Linked DNA regions of Caenorhabditis elegans. The protein of the gene in region 1 interacts with the protein of each later gene in a pairwise test. Each region holds a gene or a part of one and is shown in the gene's direction. Other genes may lie near its edges.

The links.
Region 2: the proteins of crt-1 (region 1) and ubc-1 interact in a two-hybrid assay, tested with the Caenorhabditis elegans proteins (2 studies listed by BioGRID).

What each region holds. Positions count from the first base shown.
Region 1 is NC_003283.11:6,096,777-6,103,623, reverse strand, and holds crt-1 (Calreticulin), read left to right. Parts: upstream 1-3,081; 5' UTR 3,082-3,114; coding exon 3,115-3,435; intron 3,436-3,530; coding exon 3,531-4,154; intron 4,155-4,209; coding exon 4,210-4,452; 3' UTR 4,453-4,632; downstream 4,633-6,847. Other genes in the region: Y38A10A.11 (DNA-directed DNA polymerase), read left to right, coding at 1,137-1,228, 1,512-1,617, 1,661-1,720; smut-1 (Synthetic MUTator), read right to left, coding at 4,733-4,960, 5,043-5,210, 5,259-5,764, 5,812-6,339, 6,387-6,519; Y38A10A.7 (N-alpha-acetyltransferase 40), read right to left, coding at 6,721-6,847. UniProt on the Caenorhabditis elegans protein: Molecular calcium-binding chaperone promoting folding, oligomeric assembly and quality control in the endoplasmic reticulum (ER) via the calreticulin/calnexin cycle.
Region 2 is NC_003282.8:4,101,097-4,108,326, forward strand, and holds ubc-1 (Ubiquitin-conjugating enzyme E2 1), read left to right. Parts: upstream 1-1,923; 5' UTR 1,924-1,939; coding exon 1,940-1,990; intron 1,991-2,903; coding exon 2,904-3,293; intron 3,294-3,948; coding exon 3,949-4,086; 3' UTR 4,087-5,167; downstream 5,168-7,230. Other genes in the region: C35B1.2 (SWIM-type domain-containing protein), read left to right, coding at 1-12, 268-329, 764-911, 1,725-1,799. UniProt on the Caenorhabditis elegans protein: Catalyzes the covalent attachment of ubiquitin to other proteins.

The sequences.
Region 1 (6,847 bases):
TTTGATTTCATGTTCTCTTCCTTCTTTTCCCACGGCGTTATGTTTGACCACAGAAGCATCTATTTTTGGAATCAATATAATTTTTTTCGGTGCTTTTAGCAAATAATATAAAGTTTGGGAACTACCTCTAATGTTCATTTTCATTTTTGATATTCTCCCTTGACATATCAAAATATTTCGAGCAGTATGCATTTCCTTATCATTTTTCAACTGTATTTCCTGATTTTAGCTTTTCATATTAATCAAGTAGGTTCATGGTTTCAATAAATTGTGGGTTAATTATAGATCTGCCTAATCTTCAAGCCAATGCCTTCTACGGAGTATTGCCAGTGTGGATTTAGTTTGAAAAGTATTCTAATAAAATACTCCAAAATTTTAAGTTAGTTTTGGCAAATTGCCAACATTTGGACTTTTTGAGCTATTTCCAGCATTGCCACAGGAACTGTCAGAATGTTTGAATACAAACAGTTGAAAATATAAAAATTGTAGAAAATTGTTTTAGGTCTACTTTCAAAATTTTTATAGGTTTTATTATAACTAAAATTATTATGACTAATTTTTCACCATAAAAAATTAATTGCAAATAAAAAATTTCAAAAATGTTTTGAAACGTTTTACTATTTTATTTGGACATTTAAGCACTAACGTGTTCAAAGCTGAAATTTCAAAACGTCATAACTTTGCTGAAACTTGACTTGGGCAGCTAAATTTTTCGGAGAGATCATAACTAACAGTCTTCTATCGGATATTCAACATGAGAACCCCAAACCTACGGGCCCCTTCAAAGATTTCCCTTGTGAATGGGCAATTTTAAATAATCTCTCCATTTACGATATTTCACCTTCAAATAAACAATGAATTATTCTAGATTACTTGTTGTCATTCAGTCAAGATATTCTCAAGTATTCCAAGTTCTCCATTGTTTAATGATTTTGCTCCAATTCTATCCAATTTCCCTTTGTTCGCTGCTTTAGTCCCGCCACCACCCCCTGTGCAAAGAGATAACGTGTGAGTGAATCTAATAGCCAGAATCTGGAAATATATATATGTTTAGAATCACAAAAGGAAAATGTGCAGGCGGGGAGATCAAAATCGAAACTGTATTTGTGTGGAACAATGCAACTATTGAGAGAAACATGAAGCATATGGACTACGAGTTGAGTAGGCTTCAAAAGTATTCAGGAATCTCAACCAACGAGTTTTGCCCAGAAATTACCAAGAAACCAGTGTAAGTTTCATTTTATTTTTTGGATTTAGTTAGATTTTTTAAATAATCAAAAACCGATTTCTTGCCGATGTCATACTGTAGACACTGTGAGAAGTAGGACTACCTCAATATTGATAAGTGCCTACCTATGTGCCTAGAAGGCAGGTGTGGCTTGCATTGAACTTAACAGTAGACGTAGGTCTCTTGAAGTTTTGCTTCCAGGCAGGCAGGTAGGCATTTGAATAATTTAAAGCTATAGTAAGGAGTACGGTAAATTACAATATCATTTCGTGATAAATTTCAGGCAAGATCGAAATCATTTTGCAATGCTCTACACCTTTCCTTATATTACGTCAACTTGTGATCGTGTCAGACTTTTTGTTCGAAATGCAGTTTCCTGGAGTTCAGAGGTCTAAAAATATTCCTGAAAAAATTATAATTCTAGATGTTCAGGTGAACCGAGCCCGAGTAGCATGCGAATGTGAAAAAATTGTGGAAATGACGCGTGGCTAACGAGGTACTTCTCGTCGCCGATCTTTCTCTTGACCAGGACCGAATAAATATTTGAAAATGCACTTATTGTTTGTTCTCAATGCCGAATTGTTTACAATGTACCTTTTGGTAAAGAGGAACTCGTTTGTACTGGCCAGCTAATAAAATATTCACATTATTCTTCATACTATGTTTTCATATAGAATTTATCAATTTTATAATTTAGATGATAACGAGTGCTGTACTCCTGGAGTCCACCAGGACTTGATAAGAGAATTGAAGCACCACTTTTATAATGAGCAGTACTAATTTCGAATCTGGAAATGATATTTCAGAAACAATCCAGGAAACACCAGAAAAATATCACCACTTTGAAAAATATGTGCATTTATTCAATTATGCTCAAATTTCAGCTTTGGCTCACGAGTGATACGGTCAACCACAATTTTCTCCAGAGTACGCAATTTACGCAAACACCAAACGATGGCGCCAAAGCGCCATTCAAATTTTATTCATCCGTTTCAGCCTTTTTCAGTCTTCTTGTCTCTCATTTTCGCCATTTTCATTGTTTTATTTACACAAACGGTCGTTTAAAATGTAGTTTCCATCTTTTTCCGATGGTTCATCATTTTTGTCATGCGTCTTTTGTGAAACTGGTTTTGCAAAACGAAGCAAAAAATGGATAACTGTGTCAAGGGCGATTTTTCGATTCGTCATGTCCACATAAACGCGATAATGTGTTTTTATCGTTGGTTTCATTCAGAAATTGGTTGATAAATACATTCTACTACATTCTGGCTGTGTGATCCAATTTTTAAATCCGAAAGTCTAGAAATTTAGTGCAAAATAAGCATGGAAAGTTCTAAACCCCTTAAAGAATACTGATCTCAGCTGTTTCTGTTCTTTTCAATCAGATTCCCAATTGCGATAATATCAAAAAGCCCTCTGCTGGACTGCTGTCCACCCGCAAGGGCATTATTTCCTTATCCCAAAATGCTCTCCGTCTGCATCTCTTCAACTCACTCACTCTCTCGCTCTCTTCGCAGTGCGAGGCCGACACGCAACGTGGCCTCTCATCAGACACGCTCCGCCTATTCTCAATGTGTGGCGACCGCCGATTGGCCAGTCGCTGACGTGGACCAATAGATACGCGGCACCTCGAGCCGTGTCAGCCACGCAAGACACACGTCGACTTACTCCATTGTCGTAGCAGACGAGCTCAGTTCAACATCATCAGTTTCAGTTTTGCTCTTGTTCGGTTTCATTTCTAGTCTTTCTTCTCTGAAATTCTCGAATTTTATTCTTTGGTATATTCTCATTCAATTTATCTCTTCTTTTTCCGATTCATATGTTTAATTGTTATATTTACTTTTTAATTTCAGATTCAACTTGGTGTCGTTTTATCGAAAAACGAAATGAAATCACTCTGCCTGTTAGCAATCGTTGCCGTCGTTTCGGCTGAAGTCTACTTCAAAGAGGAGTTCAACGACGCCTCATGGGAGAAGCGATGGGTTCAATCCAAGCACAAGGATGACTTTGGAGCCTTCAAGCTCTCAGCTGGAAAGTTCTTCGATGTTGAGTCCCGCGACCAAGGAATCCAGACCAGCCAAGATGCCAAGTTCTACTCCCGTGCCGCCAAGTTCGACAAGGACTTCTCCAACAAAGGAAAGACTCTTGTGATCCAATACACCGTCAAGCACGAGCAAGGAATCGACTGTGGAGGTGGATACGTTAAGGTTAGTATTTTAAATTTCTTGATGTGATAATTTTTTCGCATTAGTTTGTTAGTATCAAAACATGTTTCTCAATTAAAACAATATTTATTTTCCAGGTCATGAGAGCTGATGCTGACTTGGGAGATTTCCACGGAGAGACCCCATACAACGTCATGTTCGGCCCAGACATCTGCGGACCAACTCGCCGTGTCCACGTTATCCTTAACTACAAGGGAGAGAACAAGCTCATCAAGAAGGAAATCACCTGCAAGAGCGACGAACTCACTCATCTCTACACTCTCATCCTCAACTCCGACAATACCTACGAAGTCAAGATCGACGGAGAAAGCGCCCAAACTGGAAGCCTCGAGGAGGACTGGGATCTTCTTCCAGCCAAGAAGATCAAGGATCCAGATGCAAAGAAGCCAGAGGACTGGGATGAGCGTGAGTACATCGATGATGCCGAGGATGCCAAGCCAGAAGATTGGGAGAAGCCAGAGCACATCCCAGATCCAGATGCCAAGAAGCCAGAAGACTGGGATGACGAGATGGACGGAGAATGGGAGCCACCAATGATCGACAACCCAGAATACAAGGGTGAGTGGAAGCCAAAGCAGATCAAGAACCCAGCCTACAAGGGCAAGTGGATCCATCCAGAGATTGAGAACCCAGAGTACACTCCTGATGATGAACTCTACTCTTATGAAAGCTGGGGAGCCATCGGATTCGATTTGTGGCAGGTAAGAAACTTTTATTCTATTTTTCAAAAATGAAACTCAAACTTTATTTTTTCAGGTCAAGTCAGGAACGATCTTTGACAACATTATCATCACCGACTCTGTTGAGGAGGCCGAGGCCCATGCTGCCGAGACTTTTGACAAATTGAAGACTGTTGAGAAGGAAAAGAAGGAGAAGGCCGACGAAGAAACCCGCAAGGCTGAGGAGGAGGCTCGCAAGAAGGCCGAGGAGGAGAAGGAGGCCAAGAAGGATGATGATGAGGAGGAGAAGGAAGAGGAGGAAGGACACGATGAGCTCTAAGCAAATCGTGCACAGCTTTTCAACTCGCTTCATACAATCGCCCCCACTCCATCACAATTCCCCCGCATTCAAGTCTCTCCTATTCTCTCGGGTTAATTGATTGTTTTATTAATTTATTGAGCATCCATTTTGATGCTGGATAGCCTTTCTTGTTTTATAATAAAAAAATTTTAAAACCTATTTACGAGTTCGATTAGTTCAATGAATATAAAATACAGGATCAGATACATAGAAAAGCGATAAAAACCGGCACAAAATAGGAAATTGATATGTGATTCAATTAAAGTGATTGACGCAACTTCAGCCATTCTACAAGCCAATTGGGAAGCGTTTCCTCGCATTCGAGCATAAAAGAACACAGCTGCTCGATAATATTCGACATTGGTCCGCCAAATAAATGATGCTCATCGATGAGGACAGTAGCTCTTCCACCACATCCATCGCGACCAACTCGTCCGATTCTATGCATGTAGCTCGGAAAATCGGTGGACATTTCCATGATTATTGTCTGAAATATGTGACTTAAGATAAAAAATATTTGGGTCAATAGTAGCCATGTTTTTATCAATTTAATATATATGTAAACTTACCTGTTTCACAGAAGACACATCGATTCCTCTCGACATAATATTGGTACATACAACTCCATGAATGTTGCAAAACTCCAAATCATTCAAAGTGATTGCTTGTTGTTGTTTCAACACACTACTGCATACAGGTTTGAAATTATATCCCATCTGACGAAGTGCCATAGTTACCTGAAAATGTTCTCAATATTTTTAAAATCGAAAGAATAGGGGTAAAACCTGAATAACTCTTGAGACAGTTTCACAGAAAATTGCAATAGTATGCTTCCATGGGCCTTCTTTTGTGCTTCCCATTTCCTTGAGATCATCATCTAACAATTTACAAATAATATTCATCTTAACGATCCAAGGATTCGAATGGATATCATTTACTCGCTGTCCACCAATTCGAATAACTCGTTGAGTGATATATCCAGGCAATCTCGGACAATGGATCAGTGACCATGGATTTTCACCTAACATTCTTGATTGACGTGAAGTTAATGCAATTGAACCATCTTCGTTTCTGTTGTGAGACGCAGAAAAGAAACAAGATTGAAGATTTCTGAGCACATCCTCTTGTAGTTGGTCTAAAACCCAATCAATGTCATTTCCGAAGCATGCAATGTCAATCATTTTATCAGATTCATCCAAAATCATCATTTTCAAATTGTCAAGAAGAATTGTTTTATCCTCGATCGATGCTTTCAGCTTTCCCATCGTACAGAACGCAATATCGCATTGATCTATAAAGAATTCGTTTTTTTTTGGTTAGACGAATGCTGTAACGAACCTTTTGTGAACTGATAGCTAGCAACTAGTTTTTCAATTTTAATATCTCGAATAGGTATAATATCTTCCATATCTATCAAACCAAGAAGAACTTCACAACGATTAAAAAGTTGTTCAACGAGTGAGTTGGTATTTGCAAGAATAAGAATAGTTGGTGATGGCGTGGTTGAAATATTGGTAAGCAATGGTCGCTCCCTCAATGCAATTTCAATCGCCGGAATAAGAAACGCATAAGTCTTCCCGATTCCAGTTGGAGCATCCACTAGAAGTCCTCGGCGGTCACGAATAGCTTGAATTGATTTTTGTTGAACTGCATTCAGAATATGAACTTTTATTCGTTGCAAATTGGCGGCAAGTCGGTGATCTTCTATTGCATGTGCAACCATCCTCTCTGTTCCATAATCAGCTGGAGTTTCTACTCCGTCTTGATCCACCATTATCGTGTTCTCCTCACAGTGTTTATTCAATTTGTCAGTTTCAGCTTTTGAAGATGTGACTGCGCCCAACTGCTGATGACGATCTCTCATTGCTGAAGAAAAGTTATTGAAATATTTAATTGCCCAGAACATGGTTTACCAAAATAATAATCTCTAGTTTTAATAGATCTGAAGTTGAGTACATTTGCATACTTTGGAGGAACTAAATCAATGTGCTCAACTTGTACCCGACTATCGTCTAATGCATCGGCAGTGTTCCAAGGATGAGGCATCTACAAAGATTATTACAAAAATGTTTATATTTTGGTTTGAAAATAAATATTTGAACGAAAAGTAACGGTTTTTACGACACAATATTATAAAAGTAGAAATATAAAAAACGTTTGTTTACCCAAAAAAAAATACATGTAACAATTAAGCCAGAATGAAGATGATAACAAATTAGAAAATCATAGAATCAGAATTTAATATTCTTATGTGCTCGGTGTCTCTTTCGACAGGATCGCATAATCCAGACCAGAATCATCGGATGGGCACGTCACGTCGCTGTTGTATCCATGTTTGTGAAAGAAGCCGAGCGACGGTCCATTATACAGAAAA
Region 2 (7,230 bases), on another chromosome or scaffold:
CATCCGACGTTTGTGAGTGGAGGAAATCTGGAAAATTTGCGAAATTTCGAAGGATAAGTAGAAAAAACACTGAAAAATTGACCCAAATTCTGCAATTTTCAAGATTTTCCATGAAAAAATGTCTTCAAATTGAGAAAATTTGTGTTTTTCCATAAAAAAAACCGCGAAATTTCAATTTTACATCAAAAATCGAAAAAATTATCCAAATTCTGCTCAGAAAAGCCAATTTTCGAAGCTTTTCCATCAAAAAACTGTAAAAATTTGCAGATTGAGCAACCGGATAGGCAGAAGCTTCCAGATGGTCAACGTGTTGGTGAAGAAGTTGAATTGTTAGTTTTTTTTTTTTTTTGAAAATTTGAATTTTCAGGAAAAATGTGGATTTTTTGAGGTTAAAATTCTGAAAATTAAAATTCCGAAAAAAAAACTTCGGAAAAGTTCAGAAAAATTAATTAAAAAGAAAAAAATCCGGAAAAAATGTCTAAAATTTTTGAAAAATGAATTTACACAAAAATCTGAAAAAAAAATCACTTTAAAGAAATTTTTAATGCCAAAAAGTTTCAGAAAAATATCAAAAATTAAAACAAAATCTGTAAATTATTTAAGAAGTAATGAGTTTTCCAAAAAATTAAGAAAATAGTTTTTTTTTCTGAAATATTTAAATTAATTTTTAGGGATTTTTCAAAAATCTCAAATTTTCTATAAAATCCATAAAAATTCCCAAAAACTTCTCTCTAAGAAATCTATCAATTTCAAAATTTTTCAGAGTTTCCGGAGATGTGATGTTCGACGATGATATTAGTCCAGAAATGCGAGAAATGGTTGAAAATATGGAAAGAAAAAAGAAAATTAATTCGGAAAGATTAATGGAATTACTACAAAGAATACATCGAATTGATCAAATTTGTAAAAAAGTACGGATTTTTTTAGTCGAAATTGATTTTTTTATAGCTGATAATTAAGTAAATCAGAATTTTTACCTTAAAATCGTGAAAAAAATTGAGCCTAAGTTGAATATTTTGTACTGAAAAATTGGAAAATTTCGGCTTTAAATTTGAATTTTTCTGAAAAATATTATAAAATTTGCATTTTTCCAGAAAAATTGGACTTTTTTACTCAAAATTTTGATTTTTTGAAAGTTTTCAGTTAATCATTTCGAATTTTCCGGAAAACCTAAAATTCCAGTTTAAACTCAAAATTTTCACCGAAAACTTCAAATTTTTCAAATTTACCAAAAAATTGACATTTTCAGTGAGAAAATTGAAATTCCAAAAAAAAAAAAAAGATAAAAATCAAAAATTCACCGAAAATTTGAATTTTACTGAGAATTTCACGTTTTTTTGTAAAATTTTAAATTTTTGGAAAATTGATTTTTTTTTAGAAATTTTTAAATTAAAATTTAGAAATTTCCACTAAAAAAATCAAATTTCATTAAAAATTCATTAAAATTTTTTTTTTCACTAAAAAAGTTCGATTTGAACCAAAATTTTCTAATTTTCAGTTAGAAAATCGAATTTCAATGAAAAATTCCAAAAAATTCAAATTTTCAAAGAAAAATTTGACATTTTTGGCAATTTTCCAGCATTTTCATTTAACATAAACTGAATTTTTTACGAAACATTTTCGAAAGTTTCCAATTTTTACGGAAATTATATTCCAAATTTGCACTAAAATACGAATTTTTTTGGGAAATTCCAATTTTCTACCTAATTTTTCGATTTTTGCAGGAAGCTTGGCTGGAATCGTCGGCAGAAGTTCAACAACTCACACAAATTGCTCAACTTTTGCATTATTGTCAATAAATGTTAAAAAATATTTTCTTTAATTTTTTGATTTTTTAAAGGTTGCCGTACCTTTTTTCATACTTGTTCTAGCATTTTTCTGCATTTTTTCGAATTTTTAACCTAATTTTCACATTTTTTGCAGGAGTTAGGTTATCAATATGACGACGCCCAGCCGTAGACGTTTGATGAGAGATTTTAAGAAACTTCAGGTGAGTTTTGAAATTTTTGGCCCGAAAATTTGGCTTTCTTTGAACATTAGAGAACATTTGCAACAAAAATTGGTTTTTTCCAGAAAAAATTAGATATTTTTGGGATTTTTGATAAATTTCTCGTGAAATTTTTAAAATTAAAATTGCCAAAAAATCGCCGAAAATATCCATAAAAACGGCCGAAAATGTCCAAAAAATCGCCGAAAATTTCCAAAAAAAAATCGCCGAGAATTTTCCAAAAAAATTGCCGAATTTTCCAAAAATTCGTCGAAATTCTCCGAAAAATCGCCTAAAATTTCAAAAATATCGCTTAAAATTACCAAAAAATCATCGAAAGTTTCCAAAAAACGGTCGAAAAGCACAAAAAAAATGCCCAAAATTTCCGAAAAATCGTCGAAAATATCCAAAAGATTGCTCAAAATTACCAAAAAAAAAAAAAAAATTACCAAAAAAAATCGTCGAAATTACTGAAAAATCGCTCAAAATTTCCAAAAAATCATCGAAAGTTCCCAAAAAATCGCCAAAATTATCAAAAAATCGCCTCCAAAAAAATTGCCGAATTTTCCAAAAATTCGTCGAAATTCTCCGAAAAATCGCCTAAAATTTCAAAAATATCGCTCAAAATTACCAAAAAATCATCGAAAGTTTCCAAAAAACGGCCGAAAAACACAAAAAAATTGCCCAAAATTTCCGAAAAATCGTCGAAAATTACCAAAAAATCGTCGAAATTACCAAAAAAAAAATCACTTAAAATTACCAAAAAACGGCTCAAAATCATTAAAAGATTGCTCAAAATTTCCAAAAAAAATCGCTCAAAATTCCTAAAAAACTGAAAATTTTCCAAAAGAAAGGTTTCTTTTAATTTCCAAAAAAAATCGCTCTAAATCCCCAAAAAAACGACCAAATCTTTCAGGAAGATCCACCAGCAGGAGTATCAGGTGCACCAACAGAAGATAATATTCTCACATGGGAAGCAATAATTTTTGGACCACAAGAAACCCCGTTTGAAGATGGAACATTCAAATTATCACTGGAATTTACTGAAGAATATCCAAATAAACCGCCAACCGTCAAATTTATTTCCAAAATGTTCCATCCAAATGTGTATGCGGACGGATCAATTTGTCTGGATATTCTACAGAATCGATGGTCTCCGACGTATGATGTTGCCGCAATTCTGACATCGATTCAGTCGTTGCTCGACGAGCCCAATCCAAATTCACCGGCCAACTCACTTGCCGCACAGCTTTATCAAGAAAATCGACGGGAATATGAGAAACGTGTTCAGCAGATTGTTGAGCAGGTACACAACCCTGAATTTTGGATGAAAATCGGCGAAATTAGAGCTCAAATATTGAAAATTTGGCAGTTTTTGACCCGAAATCGAGAAATTTCACCCCAAAAATTGAAATTTGGCTGAAAATCGATAACATTTAAGTTGAAATACGAAAATTCTTAAATTTTCATCTAATGTATGCAAAATTTGGCTTTTTGTGGTTCAAAATCGTAAAATTTTACCCTAAATGTGGAAATTTAGCTGAAAATCGATGAAAATTGAGTTAAAATTAAAAAATTTTGGAATTTTTATGCCAAAACTGAAATTTTGAGAAAAATTAAACGTTTGGCTGAAATTCGGCTGAAAATAGGCGAAATTTTTTGCGAAATATGAAAAATCTGAATTTTTATGCCAAAATTGAGATTTTTTTTGCGAAAAATTGCTGAATTTTGGCTGAAAATGGCTGACATTTCAAGCAAAAATAATTTTTTTTTTTTTGAATTTTGCAAAAAAGAACCGAAATTTGAGGCTAAAAATTAAAAATTAGAAATTTTTGGCTTAGGTTCAGGCTTAGGCTTGGGCTTAGTCATTGGCCTGGACTTAAGCTAGGCCTAGAAGCCTAGGCTTCGACGAAGCTGAAAAAACACAAAAAAAGTTCCAAAAATTCTATAATTTTTTCCAGTCCTGGCTCAATTTCGGCGAAAACGAGGGCGACGCAGTGCTCAAGGATGACGTGGAAATTGAAGAAATTGCTGCTCCAGGAGCAAATGATGCAGACGATGACCGTATGGATGAAGGAGCCAGTGGATCGAATGCTTAAATTTTCAGGAATTTTTCTGAAATTTTTCTACCCCCAAAAATCATCTGAAATCAAAAGCTTTTCCCATCATCCCCGTAAAAGAAATTTCGAAAAAAAATCAATTTTTTTTTTTTGAAATTTTTGAATTTCCCCCCACATTTTTCTCTCAACACAATCGATCCCTTTGAAAATTTTTTCTTCTCGTTTATTCATTTTTTTTGTATTTTTTCCGGAACACTTTAAGATACGGTAGTTTTTTTTTGTATATATTTATACACCCCAGTCATCTCTCTCTCTCTCTCTCTCTCTCTCTCTCTGTCTTTTGTTGTTTACATAGATGAGGATTTTTTCCCGGTGAAAATTGGCTGAAAATCGGAAATTTTTGACCTTAAAAACTGAAAAAATTGTGAAATTTCAAGAAAAAATCACGATTTTTGACTGAAAAACAGCTAAATTTTGCGGATTTTCGGCCTTTTTTAGTGAAAAATGGCTAAAAATTGATATTTTTAGACCCAAAATTTGTGAAAATCTGAAAATTTCGACCAAATAGCTGAAAAATTTGTGAATTTTCGAAAAAATCATTTGGCATTTTTTAAGTCAAATTTTCACTATGTTTTTGTATGAAAATTCTGAAATTTTGAATTTCGATATTCCAACAAAATTTTCAGAGTTTTTAAGTTTTTTTTTGCTGAAAATCGCCATTTTTATACTCGAAATTTAATTGTGAAAATCGGAAAATTTTAGCCAAAAAATTATAAAAGTTGGAATTCTAACTCAGCTAACTTTCAAATTTTTGTCTGAAAATTCAATGTTTTTTTTTCGTCAAAAATCACCAAAATATTGCTCCTTTTTTGGCTGGAAATTCGAATTTTTCACTTTTTCCCCCAATTTTCATCATTTGCAAAAAATCCTCTTTTTTTTTCGTTTTCCCACGTTTATTAATTGATTTTTTTCGGATTTTATTGATTGATTTCCAACCATAATTGTCTTTTTTTTCTTCAAATGGCACCTTTTTTCTCTCTGTCTCTATGTCTCTGTGTCTGTCCCATCCCAATTCGTCAATTTTTCGACGTAAAAATGAATAAAAAATTTTGATGGCAAACTTTTTTTTGGAAAAGTTGCATTTTTTCCAAAAAAATTTGAATTCTCACAAAATTTTGTGCTCCAAAATCCGAAATTTGGAGCTTACAAGCCTACACAGGGGTCCAGAGCTTTAAAAATTCAAAAATTCAAAGGTTTTTGATTTTGGATTACGGAAATAAGACGTAAATTTCTGTTTTCACCAACATAATGGGACAGTAGTCCCCATAATCTAGTGGGTACTTCAAAAAAAGGTCCAAAAACTCGAAAATTGTAAGTTTTTAACATTTCCAACAAGTTTTTCTTACCAAAAACTTAAAATAAAAATAGTCTGCAGCTAGCGGGAATCGAACCCGCGGCCTTCTGCACCCCAACCAACTCTCTTACCGACTGAGCCACCGCGACACTCATTTTTCGAAAGTTTCTCAAATTTTCCACAAAATAGTTCAATCGACGCAGAATTTCACGCTGATCATTTTTGTAGTTGACAACTTTTTCCAAGCTTTCACCGTTCAATAGTTATGAGGGTTTAAAGTTTAGTGTGAGAAAGGGGGAGACGCAGACAACGAGACAGTCTGGGTCTCTCTCTCTCTCGTAGGTTCAAACTTTGAAGGCGCTTAACTCTGAAACTAGATTAGCTATCAAAAAACTCCCAACTATAAAAGTATCTAATATTTTAAGCTGAACAGCTTTGCAGTTAGCAAGTTTTTGATAGCTCTAACGAATTTCGAGTTTTCCACCAAAACCCATGTTTTCCCCCGACTGCAAAAACGCGCGCGAGTACGAATTCATTACTCCGATATATTCTCATAGTCCAAGAAAAATATTTGCTCATTTGTTTTCCGACGTGTTCCATCTTAAGAAAATCACATTGTTCTCGTATACGAGAGCAGGAGGTCGAATACAAAAAATAAAACGAGCGGCCAGGGGGAGAGTGACAACAACACAACCGTCGTGTATTTAAGAGGTAATCTGAAATTTTTTCAGATGCTGGAAATTTAATTATGTGAAGTTTTTAGTTTTAGTTCTAGTGTTTTGTAAAATTTTTCCGCTTATAACTTCAAAACCAGCGGAGCTATCAAAAAGTTTCTCATTACAAAATTATTCAGCTAAACGTTCTACACATTTCTATAGTTAAAAATTTTCTGATAGCAAGCCTAGTTGCAGAGTTACACGCTTTCAAAGCTTGGGCTTACGAGAGAGATAGAGGCTGAGAGAGACGCAGACTGTCTCGTTGTCTGCGTCTCTCCCTTCTCTCAAGCCAAACTTTAAACCCTTATAACTATTTAACGGTGAAAGCTAGAAAAAAGTTGTCAATTGCAAAAATTTTCACCGTAAAATTCTGCGTCGATTGAAGCATTTTTTGAAAAATTTGAGACACGGTGGCGCAATCGGTAACAGGGTTATCTATGGCGCAAAAGGTCGCGGGTTCAACTCCCGGTAGGTGCAGAGATTTTTCATGTTCAGTTTCTGGTAAGAAAAACTCAATTTTTGAATTTTTACAACATTTTTGAAGTACCCACTAGATTATGGGGGCTACTGGACGATTGAGTGGCGGAAAAAAAGAAGTTTCAAGACTTATTTCCGTAATCCAGAATCAAAAAACAAATATTTTTTGTAGAAATGCAGAATTTTGAATTCTTAATCTCCGGATCCCACGCGGGGAGCTTGTAAGCTCCAAAATGTTGGATTTTAAAGTACAAAATGTAGGGAGAATTAATTTTTTTTTTTTTTGAAAAAATTGCAAAAAAAAATTATTTAAAACCTTCAGTTTTTCAAAACTATTTGAAATTCTATCTATGACGCAGAAGGCCGCGGGTTCGATTCCCGGTATCTGTAGAATATTTTTTAAATTTTAGTTTTTATTGAAAAAAAATAGACTTTTTGGAATTTTTTGAAGTACCCACTAGATTTATGGTTCTTTTCTAAAATTCCCTCGATATGTGATCTACAAATTTGAAGACTAAATTCATAGTTTCTCATGACTCCATTTGTACCTCGTAACTCCAAAATAAAATTCATATGACGCCCTGTTTATGTCCTCGGCTTGTAACATTCAAAAATCACACTTTCCTAGATTTTATA